2 linked regions of the Drosophila melanogaster genome follow. The gene in region 2 interacts genetically with the main gene of each other region. Each region holds a gene or a part of one and is shown on either strand. Other genes may lie near its edges.

The links.
Region 1: of vri (region 2) and Pdp1, changing one enhances a phenotype caused by changing the other (phenotypic enhancement), as found in Drosophila melanogaster (one study listed by BioGRID).

What each region holds. Positions count from the first base shown.
Region 1 is NT_037436.4:7,829,826-7,834,972, forward strand, and holds the start of Pdp1 (PAR-domain protein 1), read right to left. Parts: upstream 3,249-5,147; 5' UTR 2,729-3,248; intron 2,003-2,728; 5' UTR 1,754-2,002; coding exon 562-1,753; intron 1-561.
Region 2 is NT_033779.5:5,303,470-5,311,753, reverse strand, and holds vri (vrille), read right to left. Parts: upstream 6,105-8,284; 5' UTR 5,730-6,104; coding exon 5,588-5,729; intron 4,190-5,587; coding exon 3,842-4,189; intron 3,734-3,841; coding exon 2,034-3,733; 3' UTR 531-2,033; downstream 1-530.

The sequences.
Region 1 (5,147 bases), on a different chromosome or scaffold from region 2:
TGCGCGGCAAGCTTTCTTGACTTTTGCGCTTTACAAGCTCGCAATGCGCAAAGTTCTCGGCCGCTGACGTCGGATGATATCAGTCCCAGTGGCCGGGATGCAGATAGAGGTTCTACAGACATATCGCACTGGGTTACCATGCACATACATACATATGTATGTAAGAGTATATATATCCAGACTTCCCAACGGAACGAACACTCATTTTCTAATGCAGCCTGGGCGAATATAGAATGGAAATCCTCAGAACTAGTCATACACTTTATCAGTTGTTTTTGGTTTTTCTCCCTTTAAGTGTGCTTTTTGTGTTCTCAAAACAATTTAGTTATTCAGAGTACTGTATACAACTAATGTTTAAGACAACCAAGAAAAGTTGAAGTATCTAAGCGGTAGAAAGATATATACATAAGTTTATATATATATACGAATGCACAGTACAGCTGTTAAGTAGCACTTTTCCATTTTTCTATAGTTAACAAACCATTTAAGGTCATTACTATATATCCAATATATATTTTCCAACAATTTCCCCCCCTTTTTTCCTCAAGTTTTTCACCTCACCTGAGCTGGCTGGCTGAAATCGCGCTTTCAAGCTGTTCAAATGGTTGTGATGCTCATTGGCGATCACTGCCGCTGCGACGGCATTTGCCACATGTTGCACGGAGGACACATTGTTGTTGCTGTTATTGTTGCTATTGCCACTATTGTTGCCGTTATTGTTGTTGTTATTCTGGCCGGGATTTCCACCATTTCCATTACCAGTTGCCGCCACAACAGCATTACCATTGCCACTGGCATTCCCATTCGATCCCTGGTTGCCACTTGCAACTGCAGCGGCTGCCGCAACAGCGGCAGCATTGCAACTGGCAGCAGCAGCTGCTGCAGCTGCAGCGGCATTACTCTGCGGATCCATGAAGGAGTTGCGCTGGTAATGGGGATTCTCCTGGTAAATCCTCTGGTACGTTAGCGTGGGCAGCGTCCACGAGTTGTTCGTCTTGTAGTGGAAGTTGCCGGTGCCGAAAATGGAGTGGGGGTTGGTGTTGCCACCGGTATTCCCGGCTGCAGCAGCAACGGCGGCCGATGACAGTGTATGTGCCAGCTGGGCGGCATGATGCTGCTGCTGCTGCTGCTGTGCGTGCTGCTGTTGCTGCTGCTGGTGGTGTTGCGGCGGCGGCTGCTGCTGCTGTTGTTGTTGTTGTTGCTGCTGGTGTGTATGATGCGGATGCAACGGGTGGCCGTGATGTTGCTGCTGATGCTGATGCTGGGAGTGCTGCTGTTGCTGCTGCTGCTGCTGCTGCAGGACATGCTGATGGTGCGCTTGATGGTGTTGCTGTAGGTGCTGTTGGTGTTGCTGCTGCTGTTGATGCTGCTGCTGTTGCTGATGGTGCAGGGCGGCGGTTTGTTGCTGCTGCTGCAAGGCCCAGGCATTCACGCCATTGTTGCTGGTGGCACCTGCCCCGCCGCCTCCTGTGGCGCTACTCTTGCCCGAATCATTGCTGCTAACACTGCTGCGATGGTTGTCCATGGTTCCCGATGATCCTGTCATGCTGCCATCATTTCCGCTGTCGCTGTTGCCGCTGCTGCTGTTGTTGCCGCTGCTGTTGTTGTTGTTGCTGCTGCTGCTGTTGCCACCGCTATTGCCCGCCGCTGCAGCAGCAACGTGCGAGTTAAGCTGCTGGAAATACTGCGACAATGTGGCATTCGCGTGCTCCTGGGCAAAGAAACTAGTACACGAATTCGTATCCGACGACATGATCACTGGTTTCAACAACTGGGTACGTTATTCACTGGGTTATCCTTCACTGGTTACGGTTAATCACTGTTTTCTGATGATCCTAGGTGATCACCTCCTTGTGCTGAACGTGATTAAATTTGCTGGTCAGCAGTATAAACTTTGGGCCACGGCCAAAAGTTGTGCGCATTGTCTTTACACTTGGGTTCACTTTAGTTTTTTTGTTTTTAACATAAACGCTTGTCTGTGTTATCTGAAAAAAATATTGTGCTTTTGTTTTTGAAAAACCCAGATTAGTGTTTGAGCACTTTGGTATGTTGCTGGTTTTTTATTTGCCAGTCAATTGATAGCCAATTCGTTGTTGCTAATGAACAGGTGATAGGTGGGTGAAAAATGTTGGGAATGATTCAGTTTTTCAGTTTTATTAGTGAGTATTGAGTATGATGGGGAAGCGATTTTGATAGCAACTGATAATGAATGCGCTTGTTTTCGTGTGGTCAGGGAATGCACTTTGTTTTCGTCTATTTTTGTATGATTTTTATTTAGTTTTCCATTAGTTTTTATTGATGATCATGATGATAAGGAATAAGAAAAGGCATTGTATAGTTGTATAGTTTGCGCTTTCTTTTAGTTCAATCAATTTTGTATAATAAGATTTTTGTGACGCTATAGAAATCTTAAAGTGGAATCAATAGGTACAAAGGCTTTCCGTGTTCTTTATGGAATTTTTGCAATCAAAACATTCACGGTCATTTATTGTTTTTGCTTCACTTTTAAAACGAGACAAACTAATAATTATTTGCCAATTAAACTGTATATCAAATCAACCGAGTCAAAGGCTTCCAATGTTTTTTTTTTTTTAACATTATTTCAACGTAAATTTGGAATATTTTCTATATATAAATCAAAACAAATAAATTATTATTTTCCAAATCAATTGAATTATCCTTTTCATTGATGAATAACTCTTCTTCCTTTCAGCCTTTTGTTGAATACCTTTTCTTATTCTCAGAATTTGTTGCTGCGCTTGGATATGAGATCGTTTTTTGCTTTGAGTTTTGCTGGTTCGTATTTTTCTTTTTGAAGTTTGTTGTTTTGTAGAAAAATTAAAAGTAAATTAAACTGTTTGAAATTAGATCCGTAACTTTAGCGCTGTTGTTTAAAGATTCTCGAGAGATCTCCGGATCTCTCGCTTTTTTCTCTATCTCTCTCTTTCACTCTGCCTCGTTCGATCTCTCTCTCTCTTTCTGCGTATTTATTTCTTTTTTAATAATAGTAATTATTCGAATGACACACACACACACACTTTAGATTGATTTCACAATGAACCCATTGCACTTGAAATTTGATAAAACAAAAATGACTTCCTCGATTTATAGTTCTTCTAGAACTATTTCTGTTGCTTGAAAAATCAATTTCAATTAATTTATTTTGTTGAGCGTAGAAATATTTTTTGATTTTCCCGCTCGAGTGGCGAAAACACGGAACGAGCTGCGACGATTTTCACATGAGAACGCGATGCGACAGAATGCCGGCCGAGTAATTTTCTCGGTCTCAATGTCCGTCTCTGCTTTTCCTCTGCCGCCGCTGCAGTCGTCGCTGCAGTCGACGTCGCAGTCGCCGCTACCGCTCTCTCAGCCAGCTAAAAATTGCAATTTTCTGCAAGTAAGTCGGCTTACGTAAAGGGCGGAGGTCCGAAAACAGTAACCCCTCTCCTACTTTGATAATTGTTTAACTGGCTTTTTTTTATCAAATGTTGGTAGCGCAAAATATTTGTACATGTACAACAAATATTTTTACATACAGCACTGGGAAAATGATTAGCATTACTACTATATTAATCAATTCAAGTGCCATAGGTATTTTTAGTACAGTTCTTGGTATATATTAAACAGTGTTCATATACGAGTACTTCGACTCAGATTTAGTATCAAATCTATTATAAATTATAATTCACTTAGGACTAAACCTATGTTATCTTCTTATATCTAATTATCTATCAAGAACTTAATAATATTTTTTTTTAAAGCAACTTTGTTTTATCTCAGTTATTTCAACATTACTTATAATATTCTAGTAACAAAATTTATTATTTTAAAACATTTTTTTCTTGCTCTTAAATGATTGCTATTATCTTGGACATAGCTGTAGTTATTTGTATATACTTGGGGGACTGGAACTGCGACGCCCGCTGAGGCGCTGAGCGCTGCTGCGGCCAAGTCACGCGGATTTCAATATGACCCAAAGCCCACTGTCTAGCACAGTTCTAAGCACGTGTTGCGGACACACCGGGCACACACACATACGCAAATTAATTGAGAGAGAGCGACAGAGAGAATGAGAGTGCACGTTGAACGACAAGCGCACTCAAAGATACACGTACCGATAGGGTGACAAATAGAGATACGAATGCAACTCAAAAGTTTCCAGTCGATTCGCAATAGAGCGCTATGTCTGTCCCCCTGTAACGGGTGTACCTATGGCCACTAGACTTTACACATCAGCTGGAGTGCGTGGCCGATTGGCCAATTGCCGTGCCAATATTCGGTTAATTCGGCACTGGTGCGTCTGCAACACGTGACGTATGCGTAATGTGCTCCAAAGGATTGCCTCTGTGCCACCAACTAATTACCGCTGCGTCATTCCCAGTAAGTAGATCCGATGGGGCAGAGTGGTGGGGGGGGGGGGTCTGAAGCTGAGTGCTTAACACTCTGGGCGAAAACCCAATGAAACGACGTAGTAGCTGCAACGGAGCGTATACTTAATCTGCATTCTATCGAAGGCGCTAAACTATTGCCGTAGGTCGCCGTTTTTCTTGGAAATTTCAAAAAGTATTCAAACTATTCGAGGGCTTAATCAAGTTTAAATAATTATAATAATTGCTCTCTGTTGGCATAGGTCCGGTAAATTTTCTTAGAAGTTTTGTATAATACACTCAATACTTACCCAATGATCATCGAAGATTTTATAACTATGAATCAGAGCAGTAAGCAATTTGAGATAAAATATAAAAACACATTTCTGATAAAAATGCAAATAAACTGAATTACAATTACATGGATTATTTAAGAAATATATAAATAAAGAAATATATAAAATAAATAAAATATATAAGACTTATTCAATTTGTAAGGTTCCATCTTTCGTTAAACCAATTCAAAAGAATTCCAAGAATATCCTCGCCATTTTTCTACTTGTTAAACTTGTTAAGTCGCCCACCTTTTTTCAGCCTTGTGCTATTCTTCGGTTAAACAAAACTCTTTTTTTTTTGCATTTGAGAAACCCAGTCAGCCCTGAAAACCCATCAATTGGCATAACCATGGACCATGTGGTAGAGCGAACTTCAGTCACCTGTTTTACCCAGGCGGGTCAATTCTGGGAATATCGAGTATACGCCCCGTGCAGCCAGTGACTA
Region 2 (8,284 bases):
AGAAATCGTCTTACACCAAATGAAATTCTGTATTTACACGTATTTACAACCGAATCCCCAGATACCAAAACCCTCAAAAACCACAACATATGGTACTTACTATTGTTAAGTTATTATATATACCTATATATTAACGAAATTTATAAACAGGTCTTGATCTAAGTCTATAACTTTTGTGGACTCTAGATACGTTTTTCCTAGGCTAACGAAACAAGCGGAAAATATTCGATTTCCCGATATGAAAAAATTATGAAAATGATACCAAAGAACGAAAGGAAAGTGTTTAGAACTTATAAAAACAAAGGCAAAAACCCAACAGAAAAACTTTTCATGTGATGTTTAAGGATTTATTATAAAGACAGAGAATATTTAATTATTATACTTATACTGTATTTCGAATGATAATGATAACAGAGAATCGAAAAGTAACACGATATTATTCTAAATAAATTTAAATTTTCAAAACTTTTTTTCGTTGTATGAATACAAGGCAACAAAGTTATTAAGAATAAATAATCTCTTTACCACTCGACGTACCTGAAGTTTGAAATCATTTTGGAAAGTTTTCAGGTTTTCAACTAACTCATTCTGCAATATGCGATAAGCTCGTGCGATGATGGTGATGTAATATTTTTAAAAAGCTGTGTAATAGATTAACTTGCACTTTGCTGATATACAATAATTGTGTATGATTCACACCCAACAAACCGGCGAATATTGAAGTGCAGTAAACAATTGGCAGTAAAAGACCTTTGCTGGTTTGTTTCATTATTATAAATAGTTTATTTTCATTGATCAACACAAACGAGTTATTTTAATATGCATATAGATAGGGCTGTATGTATATAGTAGTAGTCATATGTATTTTCTTGTGTGCTCCACTGCGATTATTTGTAAAGTGTAATACAGCTTTAAAAGTGAATGCTCGAATTACGACACCAAACGATCGATCTACTCAGCTAGATGGTCTACAAATAAAATGTGTGTTTTTTGTGTGGCTTAGAGTTCTTTTTTAGTTTTGTTTCTAAAGTTTTATAAACTTCGATAACATTTAGTTGAAGCGCTGTGAGCCACACGGGTGACCGAAGCGGCAAAAAACATAAATAAATGGCGAACGACAAACATTAAGGTAGGAGGATATTTAAAATTATTTATTGCAGAATTTATTCATCAATTCTTTTCAGATTTCTTTCATCTCTCACGTTTTGAATGTGCTTCACGCGTTTCTTAAGTGTAATGTATATGTTTGTTTCACTACATAATAATAATAATAATAATAGTACTCAATACAAAGTAAAATAAAATAAAATAAAATAAGCTTAGCTTGCAACTAAAATTATGTACATGATAGGAATATAGATATCTGTATAGTTATATAGTATATATAATTAATTGTGTAATATGTACAACAGCAAATACTTTGTAACGTTTGCTTACAAACATAATAATTCTTTATCTTCTCCACTTTCGCTGTGCATAAGGAAACTTGGGATGCATAAGAGAACAATAACGTGGCTGGTGACCCCGATGCTCATCGCAGGTCACCAGCTAGCTATGCAAACAAATAGCTTGTGTGTATACAACAAACAGGTTAAATTAGAAATTCTTTTGGGCTGACCCTAAGGATTTTTTTTTAGCTCCGAGTTGACGAGATCTATATAGTTAAACATTCACGATTACAAGACTCAATACAGTGGATAGATAAACATACACACAGATAAGTGTTGGCCAGTTTCGGGCCACAGGGTCTTGTGTCAAATCCTTGTGGTCCAGACCTGGCCCTAGAGTTCTACATAGAGATGGAGACATGCATGCATCGGTATCTAATAGTTATCACTCGGTTTTGGACATCTCTACTAACATATGCTTAAACCAACTTCTTTGTCCAGGAGAACTACTGGCGCCATGGAACTCTCTGCTTTGCCATCTACTGCTCTGCTCCCCCGACTCTGATCCCTTCAGAGCCTCTGTCTCTTCGCTCTCTCTCCTGATCCGCCTAGTCGTGATCCTGTCCAGCTTGGACAGGGGCTTGCTTACTCCGCCAAGATCATCTTGATGCTGGCCACCTCGGACTCTAGGCGCTCCAGCTGCGACTTGAGCATTTGATCGCGCTCGGCACTGGTTACCACATTGGCCTCCTTGGGCGCCAGTAGCTTCCTCTGCAGCTGCGCCGTCCACTCCGCACTGGCGATGGAGATGCCGGAGTCCCTTTCGTCGCTGGAATTGTCGCCGCCATCGTTCCAAGCCGGCGGCGATGCCCGACTGCAGTTGGGCTCCTGCTTGATGTGCTGCAGTGAGAGTAGCGCCGTGGCCGCCGCATCCTTGTCGCCGAGATGGGACTTGTGGCGCAGCTTGAGGGGCAGACAGTTGTTGGCATCGCTGCCCTGCTGCGGACTGCTTCGCTGCAGCTGCAGTGGAGCCATGTGCGCTGGTTCGTGCTCCTGCTCATCATCGCCGGAAACAGCTCCCGATGAGGAGGCCGAGGAAAGAGTGGAGGAGGTGGTGGAGGAGAGCATGTGCTCGTAGCTGGGTGAGCAGGCCCGACGCGATAGATTCAGCACACTGGCCGCACTGCCGGACACCGATGAGCTACTGACCGCATCCACAGCACTGCTGCTCACAGCAGCCTCGACATTGTGGCTCCAGGCTGCAGCCGCTTCCAGGTGATCCTTATAGGCGCTGGGAGCGGGCACGTAGAGACCAGCAGATGGTGGCGGTGGTGGTGCTCCCACCACGGCTGCCGCATTGTATAGAGCGCCGGCGGCCACCACCTTGCGCAAGCTGTCCAGATCCTCGGGCCTGACATTGCGGTTTAGTGCCTGCTGCAGTTGCACCTGGAGATTGGCAATGGTGGTGCTTGGCGGGCGGTTGTGCGGATCGGAGATGACTGGCGAACTGGAGCCGGCACTGGGACTTGGCTCCTGCTGCTGCTGTTGTTGCTGCGGTGGCTGGGAAATCTGCTGCTGCTGATGCGGCTGATGCTGCTGCGGCTGTGGCTGGTAGAGATGCTGTGTCTGGGACTGGGGCACAACCAACTGTTGTAGGTGCGTTGGTGGCGGCGCAACACCCGCATGATGTATGTGGTGGACACTCTTAACCGTGGCCTCTGGCCGGGCATTGCCATTGGGTCCGTAGATCAGTGGAGATAGTGGTGGACCCACCGGATAGCCATTGTGGCCACCTTGAGGCGATCCCTCGCCCGATCCACTGCCCGAGGGCGAGGAGCCCGAGGAGGAGCCACCACTGCCGCTCATCTTGGCGCGCTTTGTGTTACTCAGCACCTGTTCGCTGGTGGGCAGCGAGGCGAGGATCTTCTCCACGCTCACCAGATTCTCGCCGGAGATGTTGAACTTGTCGCGTATGGCGTCCAGCTGGGCCTTCAGCACATGGTTCTCTTTGGTCAGCTCGATGACGCGCTGCTCCAGAACCATGTCATTGTAGCGCCTCTTCTCTCGACTCCGCTTGGCCGCCTCGTTGTTCCTTCTCCGGCGATCCCAGTAGCTCTCGTCCTTCTTGTTGTCCGGGGTGAATTCGCGTTGCTTTCGCTGCGAGAAGAGCTCTTTCTGGGCGGCGGTCAACGCCGACTGCGGTCCATTGCCACCCTGTGAGGGCGACTGGGCCATCATTCCATCTCCATAGCCGCTTCCCGGGACATATTTGCCCAGACTGTCGGACATGCCGCTGTCATTTGACTGCGGACTTATGGATCCTCCGTACATGGACAACGGATGCACTGTAAGGAGAGAAGGGCATAGGATTAGTTCTCAAGCTTTGGAACTATAGATGGATAGATAATTGATATGATCAGAGCCACTGCATCATTATATTCTCGGACACTTACAGTTAGAAGCCTCGTTGGAGCTGCCGTTCATCGAGAGAGTCGGCGATATATTGGATAGCCGGACGTTGTTCATCATGGCGATGTTGGCTTTGTTGTGGCTGTTGGTGGGCGTGCCGCTGAGGACCTCGGGCATTGCTGTGGACACAGACGCCTCCGGATAGAGTTTGCCCGGCGGCGCTAGCAGGAGCAGCTTCTCCTCTTTGCCTCCGGTGGGGGGGCGTGGCCCGTAGGGAAAGTCGCTGCCGCTCAGCTTCTGCTGGCTGTAGTGATGCAGCTGCGCTAGTTTCTGCTGCAGTTGCTGCTGGTGTTGCAGATGGCTGTTGTTGCTTTGAGCTTGGATGCGGGGAACTGCAATGCAAAGATAGAGAGGTTAGTCTCTTTGACATTCATAGTTCCTTAAGAAGGGACGTATTTTATTTTATTATATTGCTAAACTTATTTATACCTTTAAAAAGTATTGTATAGCACTTTTAAGATCTTTTAAACTATTTCAACTATTCTCTGTTATGAATTCAAATTAAAGCGTTCTACCAATTTGTACAACACTCATTTCCTGCGCCTGGAAGCAGACTACACTTTTTGCAGCCCCGAAAATAATAAACAAACAAGACCTTGCCCCCAATTAAAAGCCAAGATTGCGAAGAATATCTCTTTCCTGCTACCAAAACAATATCACTTATCACCTATTTATGGCATTTCTTTCAAATGTTCTTATCTAGCTACATATGCGACATTTAGAAAATATATACATATTTAGTAATACTAATCAGGCTGAGCATTTGATAAGCTAACAAATTGACAAGGCGTCCGCCACTCAACGCAAAACTCGTTGGGTCCCCAAAATGTCTAATGCGATCTTGTCTGGCCCAACGCACACACAAACATGCAGAACTTTCTTTGTTCGTTGGTCCTTGCCCTTGCTGCTTGCCCTCGTCTATAGCTTTACCGTTTGCTTTCGTTTTTAGCACAGGCATTTACACAATGATTACGCCGAATGATGCAAGAATCGGCGAGTGGGAGCGAGAAAGAGAGGGAGCGAGAATTAGACGACAAAGGCGACGAAGAACCAGCACAATCACACACACACAGACAAAGTGTTAGAATGTAAACAAGAAATCGCACATTGCACATCTGTGTGTGAGTGCGCCCCCGCTCCCGTACCCTTAGACATCTTTCTCCCACTCTCTTTCTTTCTCACTCACCCTCACCATGACCATCGAATTGGCATTTACAGTTCAATGTGCTCGCAGACACAAACACACACACACACACACATGCACGTACACTTAAGCGCTCTGGCGGCCAGACTCTGCCGACAACCCCTAAACGGGAGAGCAACAGAGAGGGCAACACAGAGAGCAGCGCTGCAGTCGGCATCTTGACAAAATTCACAAAAACAAAATGACTAAGCTTCGCCAGTCATTCCACCGCACCCCACTCAGCCCCCCATTCACCCACACTTTTTCGGGCTATTTTGTTTTGCGTCTCAATCTTTCGTGTGTTATTGTTTTCAGCCGACTAAGTTTAGTAAATATTCTAGAACTGATTAACAGTTGCCACTGTACTACGCAAAAAGAGCAGAAATATTTAAATATTGTGATTGTCATCAGTTTTCACACAAATTCTCAACAGATTTCAAGATCAAACGTGGAAAGTTCGAAAATGCTGCTCAAAGAAGCACATAGTTTTAAACTTTTCGTAACACTGATTTATTTGTTATAACTTTCGTAGCACTTGAACACCTACATTTATTGTTGCTGGGATTATCCTGCTTGTAGTTATTGATGTAATTCGTATCCGTATTGTTTTTGAGTATCAACAGATTTTTGGTCGTTGCAGCCGCTTTGAAAAAGTTCACTTTCTGTTCCAGCGTGCAGACAATCGACATAATGTTTTGTTGTTAGAACGAACAAATTGGCATTGTTTTTGTGTGCGCTTGCAGATATTATCCAAATCTTTTGAAAATTGTTTTTCAAACACTTGTGCAGTTCGGGGTTTAACCAATTTGACCGATTTAGTTGGCTAACGCGACGTTTCTGCGCTTGATGCACTTGGCCGAAATGCTTTTAACGGCTCGACCGACGGCTCTCACTTGCTTATCGCGGTTGTGAACCCGATCGGCTGTATATTATATGGTTTGGTAGTATAGTCTAGAGACTTATCGCGAGCGCCTGAACCGCTTCGAAAGAAGGCTGAATCGCAATTGAATTTGTAAAAGCATTTCTCCGACGAGCTGCTCGGCGGTCACGTTGTGGCAACACGCATCCGATACACGCGACCTAGCGTGTTCGCTCGCAACATGTTGCGAACGGTTCGATGCAGTAAAAGTGAAATTTCTCAATCGCCGCTTCGAACATGTACCAGCATGCCCGTTGCAAGCGATCACATTGCCGTTGTTGTTGAGTAATCAGCGCGGCAATCTCGGCAAGAACAAAATCGTTTCGAGCTGCATATTCGAAACTAGAACGTGATTGCCTGCTGCGGGGGGTGGGGTAGCTCTTGCCAGCGGGTTCGCTCTTGACGCTCAAACACACACAAGAACGCACACACACGTAAGGTGACTGAGGTGCTTTGGCCGCGTGAGTCCGATTTCGATTGCGATTCTTATTCCCATTCTGATTCCGATTCTCGGTACTGGTTGTATTCATTTTTTTTTACCCTTTTTGGGTTCGATGTGTTCGTGTGAGTATGCTTGTGTGTGTGTGCCAGTTGGGTTGGTGACGCAAGCGTCTTACACAAAATATTCAGAGAACCAGCAGCACATTATTAATAATCGAGAATGCATTCAAATGCACACATGCAAATGGCTGGGGAGTTGGGAAAACTGATTTGAATGAAAAGCTTAGGCAAGACACTTTTTTAAGTTGCATGTAAGAGTGGATAACTAGAGGAAATTTCCTTACGTATTTAATTAACATTATGAAAGGTAATTAAAAATTTAAGAACATTGATAAGGAAGCAAAAGTATTTGCCTTAAGATGTAGCTTATTGATTTGATTTTAATGTATAGCATTAAAGTACATACACATACGTACATATGTATATTTGAAGTTCCAATCAGTGAATTTTTGGGTTTCCCCACTCTACAAACATATTTGCGTTCAGAATAAATTCCCAGAAAATCTAATTCGAGTAGAGTAAACAGTAAACAGTGCTAGCTAACTATTGAACTCGTCTAAATCTGCATACAATTACCAATTTATTTAATGTACGACGAACAAATCGACAGATCACGTGGCTTTGAAACTTTGGATAGTTTAACAAGGGGAATATATGGTCGTGCCGATAACTTCCCAGCCACCAAACTGTCTGGTTGGCTATTACAAAACCACTTCACAGCTTATATAAATCATAATTAAGTGCTTAACACTGCGATACGGTTATCAGAATGGATGGGGTGACTATCAACTTAGTTGCAGTGGAAGACAAAGACGGCTATTTAAGTACTACACTAGGCAAACAACGAGTTGTTGTAAAAAAGTAAGGTCGGGAGATATTACGTAATTTCCTATTCACCAGGCAGTAAAACACTAACGCGGAACAAACAGTGAATAGTATCGAATCGAAAGAAGAAATTCCATTGAATTCGCATAAAAACAGTTCTCGATGGCGATTACCAAATGCCAGAAAACCGGAAAAGTGGAGAATAAATGAAATGAAATACATATGTATGTACATAAATACTGATTAAAGTGCAATACATAAAGTGCACTTTATCAGTGCTAATAATAGAACTAAGAAAACTATATTGCATTAAGTCAGTAGACCACTGTATAATGTTAGTGTTTTAAAGTACGAGCCTATAACTGACCTATCCTCCTGGGGCATAGCAATTTTCTACTAAATATCGTTACCTTATGTAATCTGGCTATACACTTGGCAGTTTCAATTGCACAGCTTCCAGTTCCATGATCATGAGCAAATCTCAATTACGCGATCACTGCGCGATATCCACGTGAGTCGCCCGATTCACGTGTCCGGACCAATCGTAGTCGGATCCGTCGGGATGGTGGGCCAGACCCCCCCGACCAACCCCTCTGGGATACCCCGTAATCTGCGGCACATCCATTATCAGTATGCAAATATGTATGTGTAATGTGGCCCTTATCACACTCCACTCTGTTTGCTGTGGTGTGCTGGTTTGTGTAGTGTTTTCTATACTAACATTCTGCCCCGGGATGCCAACACTCATCTTTTGGTTTGTTTTGACACACTCATACTCGAATATGGTATAGGGTATAGGGAGGAATTGCTGTAGTTAGCCCAAAACGGTTACGAAACACTTTCGTCGTCGACGTCGACGTCGACTGTGTAGTCTCGGATTCTGCTAGCACCCCGTGAAAAGGCGATGTGGAAAACCCCCTGCTCCACCCCTCCCCATTCCACTGCATCAGCAGTCAAGTTATAGCAGCGCTATTTATATTTTCCGCAGCAAGAGGCGTG